Linked DNA regions of Saccharomyces cerevisiae S288C. The gene in region 1 interacts genetically with each later gene. Each region holds a gene or a part of one and is shown in the gene's direction. Other genes may lie near its edges.

Region 1 (2,841 bases):
ACTGTATTATTGATCTCTTTTACTAGCTCATTAAAACTAGTTTTATTAACTGCTGCAAAAAACAAAATTTCCAATCAAATAATAGATTCGTATAAACTTGACAATTCAAGACTCCTCAATCATTTGGTCATTACTCCCAGAGGTGAAATATTCTTTCTGGATTATAAAGTTATGGGCACCGATAACGAAATGTCCTTTAACAAGTTGAAAGTCACAAAACATTGCATTGACCAGGAGGAGAGAAATAATACGACTTTGCGGCTCACTTTGGAAACCCGGTTTACATTTAAGAGTTGGAGTACAGTTAAGACGTTTACTGTAGTAGGCGATAATATCATTGCTACCACAAATATGGGCGAAAAGCTCTACTTGATTAAGGATTTCTCTTCATCATCTGACGAATCGAGAAGGGTGTATCCCTTGGAAATGTATCCTGATTCAAAAGTTCAAAAGATAATACCATTAAATGAATGCTGCTTTGTTGTTGCCGCTTACTGTGGAAATAGGAACGATTTAGATTCAAGATTAATTTTTTACTCTTTACCCACCATCAAAGTTGGGCTTAATAACGAAACAGGCAGCCTACCAGATGAATATGGGAATGGGAGAGTCGACGACATATTCGAGGTTGACTTTCCTGAAGGATTTCAATTTGGCACTATGGCTTTGTATGATGTTTTACATGGTGAGAGGCACGTAAATCGTTACAGCGAAGGCATACGGTCGGAGAATGACGAAGCAGAGGTTGCCCTAAGGCAGCGTAGAAATTTACTACTCTTTTGGCGAAACCACTCTTCTACACCAAAACCTTCACTACGCCGAGCCGCCACTATAGTATATGAGGATCATGTATCATCCCGTTATTTTGAGGATATAAGTTCTATATTAGGAAGCACTGCAATGAGAACTAAAAGACTATCTCCCTATAATGCGGTAGCATTGGACAAGCCTATTCAAGATATTAGTTACGATCCCGCAGTACAAACTTTATATGTGCTAATGGCAGATCAAACAATTCACAAATTCGGCAAGGACAGGTTGCCTTGCCAGGACGAATACGAACCAAGATGGAATTCTGGCTATTTGGTTTCAAGAAGGTCAATAGTTAAATCTGACCTCATCTGTGAGGTTGGGTTATGGAACCTTAGCGATAACTGCAAGAACACAGTATAATTCCCTCATTTCCAATAACATTGTCGCTGATAAAATCGTGATTCTCGATCAATGTGCTACGCGTCGTGCAGCGTGACAAGGGGCTAAAAAAAGATACAAGAATTCTTGTTGTTTCCAATTTGCTTCGCCTCAGAAAAAAAAATAAACAGATTATACAATTTTTGTTTGATTTGTATTGGGTACTACATGTTTTAGTAGTTGATACAAATACTTCTTTATCCTAATCGTATATATTTATTTTACCAGCAGGAATTCGTCTTTAATATCGTTTCGACCATCGATCATTCCTCTGAGTATTGCAAAAACATTTTTGGAACAACCCAAACTTAAAGTTACAAAACTCAAAAAAGGAACAAAATTAATAAAACAAAAGAATCGCTGTTAGAGGTTTATTGTTGCACTAATAGAAAATCATAGAACTTTAAAAATTATACTAGAAAGATGTCACAACAAGTTGGTAACAGTATCAGAAGAAAGCTGGTAATCGTTGGTGATGGTGCCTGTGGTAAGACATGTTTATTAATCGTCTTTTCCAAGGGCCAATTTCCAGAAGTCTACGTACCAACTGTCTTTGAAAACTATGTAGCAGATGTTGAAGTTGATGGGCGTCGTGTAGAGCTAGCGCTATGGGATACCGCTGGTCAAGAAGATTATGATAGACTAAGACCATTGTCATACCCAGACTCCAATGTCGTATTAATTTGTTTCTCTATCGATCTTCCAGATTCTTTAGAGAATGTACAAGAAAAATGGATTGCCGAAGTATTACATTTCTGTCAAGGTGTGCCAATTATTCTTGTTGGTTGTAAAGTGGATTTGAGAAACGACCCACAAACCATTGAACAATTAAGACAAGAAGGTCAACAACCCGTTACATCACAGGAGGGACAATCTGTAGCAGACCAGATTGGCGCAACCGGATACTACGAATGTTCGGCCAAGACTGGTTATGGTGTCAGAGAAGTGTTTGAGGCCGCCACTAGAGCTTCATTGATGGGTAAATCTAAAACGAATGGTAAAGCTAAGAAGAACACTACTGAAAAGAAGAAGAAGAAGTGTGTCTTGTTATAGGAGTGTCTCGATCTCTCAGTCGTTAACTTAGTGGCAGATACTGCCCTTTTTCAATCCCATTCCTTTTCTCATTGTATGTACGTATGCCTTTTTTTGTTATTTTAGCTCTAACTATAGCTACTTGTTTTTCTCCCAGTATGTGTATAATCTTATTCTTCTCTACATATAAGTGTATTGCTCAGTAAGTATTATCATCTATTAAAGAAGAATAAAAATTATCATGTATTTATTTACAAGTGCGTATCCTATATATATATATATATATACTTTCGCGATAAAATTTTTTACCAAATACCCTTCTTAACACCTGGCAAATTACCCTTCAGAGCGTTTTCTCTAAATTGATACCTACACAACCTAAAATCACTTAGAACAAATCTTGCATGTCCAGAGTCCACGCACCTATTTTTGATCTGCGTAGATCTCATGTAGTTTGGCAATGCATTTAGTTTTAACTGAGCCTCCAACCTCAGTTTTGTTGGAAGGTTCATATTTCTAGCGATGAATTTCAAAGATTTAACAAGGATTTCATTCTCTTTAAATTGTTGTCTTTTGAAGTTATCCCTAAGTATGCGAGCATTGATAAACCCTGGTGGT
Region 2 (5,840 bases), on another chromosome or scaffold:
TTTTCGAAGGGGAAAATCTTAATCTTCACGGGGGTTGTGCTACCAATAGGAACAGCCCTACTCGGGATGGACGTTTCGTATTGCAACTTGTCACGCCAAGTATTACCCACGCTAATTTCTTCTTGCATGGCAAGATTGTCCATCGATAATGTACGAAGGATTCTGAGATACTTGAACTTTTTGATGATAATTTTATTCTTCGTTCTCATACCATTGCCGCTCGTACTTGTGCTACCGATTGGACCGTGAGGAGAAGTATGAACGCTCAGATCAGTATCCCATAACTGACGTCCATCTATAATGGCTTCAAAGGAATACAGTATGCTACCACTTTGTAGTCCCTCGATTGTTTCGCACACTTCTGGGGGGAGCATTGTATTGAAGGGTAGTTCGTAGTTGCCTCTTTTCATTAGGAATAAGTACGAACTTCCAGACCCGTCTCTGTTACTATAACTATGGCTATTGTTATTGAGGGTGTTACTACTACTGCTTCTACTACGGGCGTTTTCTCTTAAACCCTCGAAAGGGGTTCCTGTAACACCATTTTCTGGTAGCTCTAGTATTTTTCTGTGGGAAGAATGGGTCTTTCTTCGAATTATTTTGTTGAAAACAGGGCTCGAAAGTGATCTCTTGCTTAGAAATATTGCGTTGCCGCTGGTGTCCATATCTTGGTTGCTTGTACTGCGACCGCTACTACTGTTATGTTGATTTTCCGCATTTTCCCCACCGACTAAAACATCCCCTTTTGAAGAAACCAATAAGTTGTCCCAATAGCATTCGAAAATCTTACGCTTTTCCTTAACTAGACTTGCCAAACTACTGCTATTCTTCTTATATCGGCCAACTTGCAAAAACTCCAATTTGAATCTTCCTACCAATCTCAGCGAAATTTTCTTCACTACGATCTCATTTTTCACTGAAATCACTAAGTTTCCTGATAAAGGTATAGACGACAGTTCCAACGGTGACCCTTGGATCAAAATTATGTCCTTGTACGGGGAGTTTATTCTAATATCAAAATAACTTATTCTCTCTCTTTCCTTCTGCTCTGAATGCCCACCGCTGCTAGATAGCGAACTAAGTGAAAACATGGTCTTGCTTCACCCTATTCTCGCCGAGAGCTGTACAAGATATTTTTTACTTTTGCCATCTTATACTCATCCTAATCATCTGTTTCATTTTCCTTCTATTTCTTTTTTTTTTTTTTTTTTTTTTTTTTTTTTCAGTTTTCGAAGAAACTGCCTTTTTAGAATTGTAAAAGACGAAGTGAAGTATTCAGGAGTATATTATTACATACATACAAAGCAAGACAAAGAAACATTTTTAGATCTAACATTTTACTTCAATTGTTTTTGTATTCCTTATAATAAGAAAGACCTGCTGTTTAATGTGGGAGTAATCCGTCCCCTACTCGATCTTCAATAAATTGTCATCTTGTATCTAAAGGAGCGCTCCAGTACTCCAATTAAGCACCACCTAGTGCGTCTAGTGTCGATTTTTTTTTCACGCATACGTTTGTATGTTTCTTAAATTTCCCATGATTTTTTGTTGCCAATGTCATATCTACAAACTCTATACGAAAGTAAACGCACTTCATCTTTTTTGCCCTAAAACGGCAATATTTAGACATATCATAAGGGGCCCAAGGGAGAATCGTTAATTTTAAACTTTTCTTTGCTCTTGAATGAAAAAGTAAATAAATAAAACTAAATCAAAAAAAAGAACGCCACGTTTGAATTTTAAAGCAAAAATTTTGTTGATTTAGTAATGATATAAATAAAACCAAGTCGTTGGTAAGAATTTGGTTAGGTTATGAATAGTAATGAACTGGATCTAAGAAATAAATATTTTTATGAGATATTCGGTAAGAAAAGAAAATCAGATACTTCAACCCCTACTCAGTTGTTCTCCGGCTCCAAAGTTCAGACAAACATCAATGAAATTTCTATCACTAACGATGAGGATGAAGATAGTACTGAAGATGAAAATAAGGCTTCATTGAAGGATTATACACTAGGGCACGACACCGGTGCACGGTATAGGATAGCACCGGACTGTTCTTCCCACCAATTAAAGGCATCTCCTGTCCTACATATTTCAACAAACCTTAATTCAAGTCCACAATCCTTCACAGGCGATCAGATTTCACCTACTAATAAAAAAATTTCAATAAATGATTCGACCAGACAAGATAAAGGTAACAGTTGCACTACCACTTCATCACCTTCTCAAAAAAGATCGAATGTTTTGCTTCCTCACGTAAGAAAACATTCATCTCCTTCACTATTATCATTTTCCAAAAACAGTGGCAGTCATATGGGGGATCCAAACCAGCTATCTACGCCTCCAACTCCCAAAAGTGCAGGTCACACGATGGAGTTACACAGTTCATTCAATGGAAAACATAGTTCTTCTAGCACCTCTTCTTTATTTGCATTAGAGTCACTGAAAACCCAAAATAGACGCTCATCAAACTCTTCCAATCATTCTAGTCAATATCGACGCCATACTAATCAACACCAACGTCATCATTCAAGGTCCAAATCAAGTCCTGTCTCTCTGACGGAAATATCCATGATCAAAGGCACGCCTTTGGTTTATCCTGCACTTTTATCACTAATAGCAATTAAATTCAAACAGACCATCAAATTGAGCACGCATAAAAAGATGGGGTTACTTTACAGAGATTCCTTTACAGGAAAACAAGCAATTGATACTTTATGCTTGATCATAGGAAGCTTAGATCGTAATTTGGGCATGTTGATCGGAAAATCGCTGGAAGCTCAAAAATTGTTCCATGACGTACTTTATGACCATGGCGTAAGAGATTCTGTACTGGAGATTTACGAGTTATCTTCAGAATCAATTTTTATGGCACATCAGTCGCAGAGTTCTACTTCAATTGCCAACACATTTTCTTCATCATCTTCTTCAGTTAATTCGCTCCGTACTAAAACTGAAATATATGGTGTTTTTGTCCCATTGACACATTGTTATTCCTCTACATGCTCTCTGGAAAAACTTTGCTACTCTATTTCTTGCCCCAATCGTTTGCAACAACAGGCTAATTTACATTTAAAATTAGGTGGTGGTCTTAAGAGAAATATTTCGTTAGCACTCGATAAGGAGGATGATGAACGAATTTCCTGGACAAATTCTGTACCAAAGAGCGTATGGGAATCATTATCCAAACAACAAATCAAAAGGCAGGAGGCAATATATGAGTTGTTTACTACAGAAAAGAAGTTTGTAAAATCTTTGGAAATCATCCGAGATACTTTCATGAAGAAATTATTAGAAACGAATATTATTCCATCTGATGTAAGGATAAATTTTGTAAAGCACGTTTTCGCACATATCAATGAAATATATTCTGTCAATAGAGAATTTTTGAAGGCTTTAGCACAAAGGCAATCATTAAGCCCAATTTGTCCTGGAATTGCAGATATATTTTTGCAGTATCTTCCTTTCTTTGATCCTTTTCTGTCATACATAGCATCAAGACCATACGCAAAGTATCTAATTGAAACCCAAAGATCAGTTAATCCCAATTTTGCTCGTTTTGACGATGAAGTGTCTAATTCTTCCCTGAGGCATGGGATCGATTCATTCCTATCTCAGGGTGTTTCAAGACCTGGTAGATATTCACTGTTGGTAAGAGAAATAATACACTTCTCGGACCCAGTAACAGACAAAGATGATCTACAAATGCTAATGAAAGTCCAAGATCTTTTAAAGGATCTAATGAAAAGGATTGATAGAGCAAGCGGTGCAGCACAAGATCGTTATGACGTTAAAGTGTTAAAGCAGAAAATTCTATTCAAAAATGAATACGTTAATCTGGGTTTGAATAACGAAAAAAGGAAAATCAAGCATGAAGGTTTACTCTCAAGGAAGGACGTGAACAAAACAGATGCGTCCTTTTCAGGAGACATTCAATTTTACCTACTCGACAATATGCTATTATTCTTGAAATCAAAAGCTGTAAACAAGTGGCACCAACACACTGTATTTCAGAGACCAATTCCACTCCCTTTACTGTTTATTTGTCCGGCTGAGGATATGCCACCCATAAAAAGATATGTGACAGAAAACCCAAATTGCTCAGCGGGTGTGCTCTTACCCCAATATCAAACGAGCAATCCCAAGAATGCTATTGTATTCGCCTATTACGGTACGAAACAACAATATCAAGTTACTTTGTACGCGCCGCAGCCGGCCGGATTACAGACATTAATAGAAAAGGTGAAACAAGAGCAAAAAAGGCTCCTTGATGAAACTAAACATATTACTTTTAAGCAAATGGTAGGTCAATTCTTTCACTCATACATAAATACTAATCGCGTCAACGATGTCCTAATCTGTCATGCTGGTAAAATTTTATTGGTTGCAACAAATATGGGACTCTTTGTTCTTAATTATGCTACATCGATCAATCAAAAACCAGTGCACCTTCTGCACAAAATATCAATTTCACAGATCTCTGTATTGGAAGAATATAAAGTTATGATTCTTCTAATTGACAAAAAACTGTACGGCTGTCCTTTAGACGTAATCGACGATGCAGAAAATGCAGATTTTCTTTTCAGAAAAAATTCTAAAGTGTTATTTAAATATGTTGCAATGTTCAAAGACGGTTTCTGTAATGGTAAAAGAATCATTATGATTGCACATCATTTTTTGCACGCCGTACAATTATTGATTGTTAATCCTTTGATATTTGATTTTAATAGCGGTAATTTTAAAAAAAACCTAAAGGCAGGCTTGGTAGATTTTAGCGTTGATTCTGAACCTCTGTCCTTTTCTTTTTTGGAGAATAAGATCTGCATTGGTTGTAAAAAAAATATCAAAATATTAAACGTACCGGAAGTGTGTGATAAAAATGGATTTAAAATGAGGGAGCTTTTAAATCTACATGATAACAAAGTTTTAGCGAACATGTATAAAGAGACGTTCAAAGTAGTTTCCATGTTTCCGATAAAAAATTCAACTTTTGCATGTTTTCCAGAACTCTGCTTTTTTCTCAATAAGCAAGGGAAGAGGGAGGAGACAAAGGGATGTTTTCATTGGGAGGGGGAACCAGAACAGTTCGCGTGTTCCTACCCTTATATTGTGGCAATTAATAGTAACTTTATTGAAATTAGACATATAGAAAATGGAGAACTTGTCCGCTGTGTACTTGGAAACAAGATACGTATGTTAAAATCATATGCCAAGAAGATCTTATATTGTTATGAGGATCCTCAAGGATTTGAAATTATCGAACTGTTAAATTTTTGAGTTGACCGCCCATATTAATACCTTAAAACTTATTTCTTGAACCTATACATCTAAATTTAAGTAATATTATTTTATTTGTATAACCATATGTAGTTTACCTGAAATATATGGGTGCCATTAAGAAAATATAATACAATGGACAAGAATTTTGTCCTAGAAAATAAAGTCTTGAAAGTATATTGTCCTTTCCTTTGGAATATTATGTCACTAGCAAGCATCGAAAATTGATCCAGAGTGAAAATTAATTTTTTCGAGATTAAACTGTGAATTCAAAAGTTTGATTTTAATTGTTTCCTCACTCAACTTGGTACTGAAGTCTTGATTAGCTGTTAGAGAAGATAATTCTGACCGTATTGAAGATGTCGAATTTACTGAAAGCAACTGAAGTAAAATATCGATTACTTCAATCTTGTTTTTACTGCTTATGTAATTATTCCAAATTGAATCCGAGATAGGAATATGAATATCAAATGTCTCTTCCATGGGATTTAGGCACCATTCCCCCGAGTTAGAGTCGTTTTCCTCAGATAACTCATGTTTTGTAAAGTGAGATCCATCGA
Region 3 (3,791 bases), on another chromosome or scaffold:
GATCCATTGCATGCTTCGACGGCTTTGGAGAATGAAACCACCATCGAAACCGTCAACCCCTCCGTAAGAAGTTTGAAAAGCGAACCTGTTGGTACTCCCAATATAGAGGAAAACAAAGCGGACTCTTCCGCAGAAGCCGTGGTAGAAGAACCGAATGAAGCTGTGGCTGAAAGTTCTCCAAATGAAGAAGCAACGGGACAGAAAAGTGAGGATACCGATACACATTCTAACGAACAAGCTGATAATGGATTTGTACAGACTGAAGAAGTAGCTGAAAACAACATAACCACAGAAAGTGCAGGGGAAAATAACGAACCTGCAGATGATGCAGCAATGGAATTTGGACGTCCAGAAGCTGAAATTGAAACTCCAGAAGTAAATGAGTCTATAGAAGATGCCAATGAACCTGCGGAGGATTCCAATGAACCTGTGGAGGATTCCAACAAACCTGTGAAGGATTCCAACAAACCTGTGGAGGATTCCAACAAACCTGTGGAGGATTCCAACAAACCTGTGGAGGATTCCAACAAACCTGTGGAGGATGCCAATGAACCTGTGGAAGATACCAGTGAACCTGTGGAGGATGCCGGTGAACCCGTACAAGAAACCAACGAGTTTACTACCGACATTGCCTCTCCAAGACATCAAGAAGAAGATATAGAACTTGAAGCCGAACCTAAAGATGCTACCGAAAGTGTTGCAGTCGAGCCATCCAATGAAGATGTAAAACCAGAAGAAAAAGGTTCAGAGGCAGAAGACGATATCAACAACGTTTCCAAGGAGGCTGCCTCTGGTGAGAGTACTACCCACCAAAAAACTGAGGCCTCTGCTTCTCTTGAAAGCAGTGCCGTCACGGAAGAACAAGAGACAACGGAAGCCGAAGTAAATACAGATGACGTTTTGTCCACTAAAGAAGCTAAAAAAAATACTGGCAACAGCAACAGTAATAAGAAGAAGAATAAGAAGAATAAGAAGAAAGGGAAAAAGAAATGATTAATGGATGCCTTCAATGAGTTCCACGACGCACGTTTATTTTTTCGACTGAGAATCCCTCAGCAAATATAATCTATTTTTTATATATCTGTGTATATGTAAGCATGTATAACTAGTTACAAATATGATAACTGCTTTGGCGATCACTTCATTTTCTTGAGAGGGGTACTCAGTAGCCGCCAAGCACGAAATGTCCGTTATTAAAAATTGGGGAGTGAATCTTAAAAGCCCGAAAAGGAAATTCAAAATCTGTCTATTTATAGGCCGTCGCGCTCTACGAAAACGCGAAATTATTCAAACGGAAAACGGAAAAAAATCTAAAAAAAGAAATTAATTGAGAGATCTCACGGAAATGCCGCGAGGAATGTTTCTCGAGGCTGAGCGGCGTGGTCTGTGCAAAAAAATGGCAATTTTTTTGTAGGAGTTTGCATTGGGCCATTCAGAAGGAGCACCGTTAGATGGGATGGTAAATGAATTTGCTGTTTCAGATTTGAATCAATCTTTACCCGTTATTTTTGCCGTTTTGCTTTCATAATCTGCAAATTAACAAAGTCATAAAGAACATAAAGACATCACCCCAGTTTTTACACTCTTTTTTCCTGTGTTTGGTTTAGCACAACTTTCCAATAACCAAGTTGGTTTCAGATCATCCCCATATTATTTTCTAGTTTCATTTACTTACCAAACTCACCATTCAAGGCTTTCAAATTAAGTTACGAGTACAGTGGACCATTTTTTTCTGATTCTTCATATTTTCCGTTATAAGTCTTATAAGGAAGGTATACATTTATATTGCGAATTTGAAAAATAATTTAAAGCTGACTTTGCGTTTTAGGTAGGCTAGAAAAGAATACAACTATCCCTAAACACATTCTAGATTCACGAAGACGCCTCTGCCTCAAAGACATACTATATTTTTACTCTCGTTGAACAAATAGTACCATTATTTCGCTACTTTCGTTGAAGATTGGACATATAAAATACGCAAATCATAGTATGTTGTCTTTCACAACCAAGAATAGTTTCCGCTTATTACTTTTAATACTGTCATGCATATCGACGATACGCGCACAATTTTTCGTGCAATCATCATCTTCGAATTCTTCAGCAGTATCTACTGCACGTTCTTCCGTAAGTAGAGTTAGTTCTTCAAGTTCCATTTTGTCATCCAGTATGGTTTCTTCCTCAAGTGCTGACTCATCTTCCCTTACTTCATCGACATCAAGTAGGTCCCTCGTGTCACATACGAGTTCGTCTACCAGCATTGCCTCCATATCGTTCACATCATTCAGTTTCTCATCAGATTCAAGCACCAGCAGCTCTTCCTCTGCTTCTTCAGATTCTTCATCCTCCTCATCCTTTTCCATCTCTTCGACATCCGCAACTTCTGAATCATCGACGTCTTCTACGCAAACGTCAACATCATCTTCATCCTCACTGTCGTCAACGCCGTCCTCTTCATCATCCCCATCAACAATCACTTCTGCACCTTCAACCTCCTCCACACCATCCACTACTGCCTATAATCAAGGAAGCACTATCACCAGTATTATTAACGGTAAGACGATTCTCTCAAATCATTATACTACCGTTACGTACACACCATCAGCAACCGCTGATTCAAGCAATAAATCCAAAAGTTCGGGTCTTTCTAAAAAAAATAGAAACATCGTCATTGGTTGTGTGGTTGGTATTGGTGTACCACTGATTCTGGTGATACTGGCTTTAATTTACATGTTTTGTATCCAATCATCAAGGACGGACTTTATTGACTCAGATGGTAAGGTCGTTACGGCATATAGAGCTAACAAATTTACGAAATGGTGGTATATGCTTTTGGGTAAGAAAGTTAGTGATGAATACCACTCCGATTCACCATTAGGTGGTAGTGCATCGTCCGCAGGTGGTTTAGACCTAGATGAAGCAGATGATGTGATGGAGCAAAGCTCCCTTTTCGACGTCAGAATAAGAGATAGCGATAGCGTATTACCAAACGCCAACACCGCCGACCATAATAATACCAATAGCGGTGGAGAGCCTATAAATAGTAGCGTTGCGTCAAATGACATAATAGAAGAAAAATTCTATGATGAACAAGGTAACGAATTATCACCACGAAATTATTAATCATATCCATTCATATCATTTAGTGCTTATGGCTACTTTTCATTCCTCAATTATTGTAAATTGACCATCTTAATTATATTTCTGATATTGAGTAGGTGGACTTCATTAGTATTTTTACAAATATTATCACCTTCTTATGTAGGATTAGCATTACATACCCTCTAATTAAAAAAAGTTAACATTAATTACATTTTAAAAAAAATTGTAATAGTATGATAGTAGGACCTGACAGCCATTTGAATAAGGTTTCGAGTGCTTTAACGTTCCACTGATTTTATGTAGTTCATATGGGGGTTAGTCTGGTTTGAGGAGGAGAATTTCAGGGAAGCAGTGGCCGTTGAATCTCCCTGTAGGGCGCTGATTATTTTTATCCTAATAATCCAAAAATGACAATGTCAATAAAGAAAACTTACCGAGTTCTGTGAATTTCTCCCTAAAAAATTACTAATTATACCTGGGCGAGTTTTGAACTCTTTGGCAAATAAACTTGGGGTAAACCTTTCGATTATAAAGACGTTACTGCTCAAAAATGTGTAGAAGCATAAGGAGATATTCTCTCGTATGTTTAATTGGAGTTGGCTTTTTTGGACTCTGAAGTTTGAGTATGGGAGGGGAAGTAATCGAGATTAGATTCCCTGATGTTCACATATGGGGATAAAGAATGCTTTTTG
Region 4 (3,679 bases), on another chromosome or scaffold:
CATCATCTTTAGGATCTCCTTGCCTCTTACTTTCGTCATCGTCGAGTGATGTAGCGGCTATTAGAGTAGCAGTTGGCACCGTTCCATCGTTTCCATGACCACCGTCTTGTGACTTATCACCGGAAAACATTTTATTAAACTTTTCCTTCATCGATTCACCTAAATCCTTGATTCGATCTAGTTTGTCCTTAGTAAAAGAGCTAGCTTCTTCCATCTTATAAGCTATATAACTCCCTGCAGCAGCCATCCCGCCACCCACATATATGGGTAACCTAATAATTTTAGATATAATTTTAGGAAAATGTGATATCGATCTCCTGGTGATAACAAAACTCAAAGCATTGGCATGTGCTGATCTGTGAACATTGCTCATGCGGCTGTGTAAGTGCACCAACGGACTTTTGATGTAAGGAGAGCTATATAGTATCGCCGGATGCGTAGCAAGCTGTCTTCTCAGAATTAAAAGCCGTACTGGGCTCGCATTCATCCTTACTAATGTGTTATAGTTCGCCACTCTTGGGATGGCCCTTAATGAAGTAGAATTACTCATGCTTTCAGAGTATTATGGTGAATATGCGAGGCTATATTATAAGTACGAAAAGAATGGAAAAGCCTAAGAATAAAATGATATCTGTACTACCCAAAAAGAGGCTTTTTCGTGTTCTCCCGTTAACTGGTGTGAACCTTCCTAGCTGATTATGTCTTGCCTTTCAATAGAACGCTACTATTTTGTTTTTAACGGTACAAGGAAATATTAACAACTTGCATATTGATCATCGAATACGAAGCGCTGAATGAGGGTTAATTTCATAGTAAATCTTTCATGGACAGAAATATTTGAAATATATTTCCTCAAAGAGTACACTAGATCCATTCATATTTTAGGCTTCCTATGGAAACCGTTTTTTCAAGGATAAACCCCGCCATATGTTCTTTGCGAAGTCTTTTGCAGTTAAAACTAATTACAACTCTGTTATTTACTGACACCTGCGTTAAAATTTTATCACAATATGTCATCCGCTGAGAGAGATGTACTATTTATAATTACTTAAGAGCGACTACTTCATTTACCATTAGCGAGCAGAAGAACAGCTTACTTGTCGATGTTCTTCTCTGGCTAAATGAAATGTCAATTATTGAGATTGAGATGGGTATGTATGATCGGATTTTGATATCAGCCGATGAGACGAAGATTCAATAGCTTCAACCGTCCCTGCGGGGGGTACTTACCTTTTGTAACCAGTACCCTGTGCAAATTCTCGGCGTGTACTACCTCTTTTGGGACCACAACCCTTTGTACGCACTTTCGTCAGATGCAAATTTTTACACGCGTTGAAAAATGTTTCAGGAAGAGATACTGCGTAAAAAAAAGACACATGTGTTACGCAGGAAAAAGTTTGTGAGGCTTTTTGCCTTAACAGATTGACTTGTAGCCCTGTTAGGTTTACCCAACAGTTGTTTTTCTGTGTGTCGAAAATTTTTTCAGATTGTTTTCAACTGACACTTGCCTGTTTCATATTAGTTGTAACTTAAACTTTCAAACATAAAACTTTTTTGGAAGTCCATCCTTCACATGACTTGAATCCCTTCAATATCGAAACAGTATCCTCAAAATCTCTTATCACTTTTCTAATTGTTTTCTTCCCCTTTTTGTAGTAACTCGCTGTAAAGCACATTTTATTCATAATCTCCTTTGTGCCAGAACTCAAGGTCAATAGGCCAGAATTATTGGAAGGAAAGAGGGAAGAAAATACGATATTGCTAGTTCATTAAGTCAAGGAAGAAAATACTCAAAAAACTGTACAGCTCAATCAGGTACACATTACGATGGCAGCACATCAGATGGACTCGATAACGTATTCTAATAATGTCACCCAACAGTATATACAACCACAAAGTCTACAGGATATCTCTGCAGTGGAGGATGAAATTCAAAATAAAATAGAGGCCGCCAGACAAGAGAGTAAACAGCTTCATGCTCAAATAAATAAAGCAAAACACAAGATACAAGATGCAAGCTTATTCCAGATGGCCAACAAAGTTACTTCGTTGACCAAAAATAAGATCAACTTAAAGCCAAATATCGTGTTGAAAGGCCATAATAATAAAATCTCAGATTTTCGGTGGAGTCGAGATTCAAAACGTATTTTGAGTGCAAGTCAAGATGGCTTTATGCTTATATGGGACAGTGCTTCAGGTTTAAAACAGAACGCTATTCCATTAGATTCTCAATGGGTTCTTTCCTGCGCTATTTCGCCATCGAGTACTTTGGTAGCAAGCGCAGGATTAAACAATAACTGTACCATTTATAGAGTTTCGAAAGAAAACAGAGTAGCGCAAAACGTTGCGTCAATTTTCAAAGGACATACTTGCTATATTTCTGACATTGAATTTACAGATAACGCACATATATTGACAGCAAGTGGGGATATGACATGTGCCTTGTGGGATATACCGAAAGCAAAGAGGGTGAGAGAATATTCTGACCATTTAGGTGATGTTTTGGCATTAGCTATTCCTGAAGAGCCAAACTCAGAAAATTCTTCGAACACATTCGCTAGCTGTGGATCAGACGGGTATACTTACATATGGGATAGCAGATCTCCGTCCGCTGTACAAAGCTTTTACGTTAACGATAGTGATATTAATGCACTTCGTTTTTTCAAAGACGGGATGTCGATTGTTGCAGGAAGTGACAATGGTGCGATAAATATGTATGATTTAAGGTCGGACTGTTCTATTGCTACTTTTTCTCTTTTTCGAGGTTATGAAGAACGTACCCCTACCCCTACTTATATGGCAGCTAACATGGAGTACAATACCGCGCAATCGCCACAAACTTTAAAATCAACAAGCTCAAGCTATCTAGACAACCAAGGCGTTGTTTCTTTAGATTTTAGTGCATCTGGAAGATTGATGTACTCATGCTATACAGACATTGGTTGTGTTGTGTGGGATGTATTAAAAGGAGAGATTGTTGGAAAATTAGAAGGTCATGGTGGCAGAGTCACTGGTGTGCGCTCGAGTCCAGATGGGTTAGCTGTATGTACAGGTTCATGGGACTCAACCATGAAAATATGGTCTCCAGGTTATCAATAGCTTCGAATTGGAAATACTGTGAGCAGTAATTATCAATGGATGCTATTATATAAATATACATACCTACACCCATCCCATATTTACATAGAATAACAACAGTAACATTAGTTCTGTGGAAGCGCAAAAACGTCCTTTAATAAAGTAAGTCAAAACATTCAACAATGAAAATTCAAAGCATTGTCATTTGCTTCCTTTTTCTCTTTGGATAAACGAAACAAAAACGAACAAAAGTGTCATGCACTCAAAAATTCTTTTCAATCGTTTTGGAAACAGTATTATTCACTGACTTATTTGACCAACTTGCTAGAATCATCTATGTTTTCAGGCATTGTTTAATTTCATGATGGCTGTCCCTACTTTAGCTTGTTATGAGCCTTCACTGGCTCGTCCTTATGTATTGCGTCTGACCCAAAATTTGTCCTTTCTTGTTTAGTGGAATTTTTGTTCGGTAATTTCAAAAATGCCTGAATTTTCATTAACAAATCATCTGGTAGTTGTGTTATAAACATAAAAAACTGCTCCCTTCTGGGATGATTTTCAATTGCTCTCTGTACTGCAGGATCATTCAATATCATCTGAA

Evidence for each region.
Region 2: of RHO1 (region 1) and ROM1, a mutation in one rescues a mutant of the other (synthetic rescue), as found in Saccharomyces cerevisiae (2 studies listed by BioGRID, with this or other methods).
Region 3: of RHO1 (region 1) and MID2, extra expression of one rescues a mutant of the other (dosage rescue), as found in Saccharomyces cerevisiae (4 studies listed by BioGRID).
Region 4: of RHO1 (region 1) and STE4, extra expression of one rescues a mutant of the other (dosage rescue), as found in Saccharomyces cerevisiae (2 studies listed by BioGRID).

Annotation. Positions count from the first base shown.
Region 1 is NC_001148.4:873,754-876,594, forward strand, and holds RHO1 (Rho family GTPase RHO1), read left to right. Parts: upstream 1-1,614; coding exon 1,615-2,244; downstream 2,245-2,841. Other genes in the region: MMS1 (Mms1p), read left to right, coding at 1-1,173; mitochondrial 37S ribosomal protein uS14m MRP2, read right to left, coding at 2,529-2,841. UniProt on the Saccharomyces cerevisiae protein: Acts as a central regulator in the cell wall integrity signaling pathway, which is regulated by the cell cycle and in response to various types of cell wall stress.
Region 2 is NC_001139.9:625,994-631,833, forward strand, and holds ROM1 (Rho family guanine nucleotide exchange factor ROM1), read left to right. Parts: upstream 1-1,812; coding exon 1,813-5,280; downstream 5,281-5,840. Other genes in the region: ART5 (Art5p), read right to left, coding at 1-1,091; ENV11 (Env11p), read right to left, coding at 5,488-5,840. UniProt on the Saccharomyces cerevisiae protein: Stimulates the exchange of RHO1 GDP-bound form into GTP-bound form.
Region 3 is NC_001144.5:788,687-792,477, forward strand, and holds MID2 (Mid2p), read left to right. Parts: upstream 1-1,989; coding exon 1,990-3,120; downstream 3,121-3,791. Other genes in the region: CHS5 (Chs5p), read left to right, coding at 1-993; JIP3 (Jip3p), read right to left, coding at 1,983-2,360.
Region 4 is NC_001147.6:741,083-744,761, forward strand, and holds STE4 (G protein subunit beta), read left to right. Parts: upstream 1-1,827; coding exon 1,828-3,099; downstream 3,100-3,679. Other genes in the region: dynamin-related GTPase MGM1, read right to left, coding at 1-487; SAS5 (Sas5p), read right to left, coding at 3,453-3,679. UniProt on the Saccharomyces cerevisiae protein: Implicated in the a- and alpha-factor response pathway. The beta and gamma chains of the putative yeast mating response pathway G protein play a positive role in initiation of the mating response.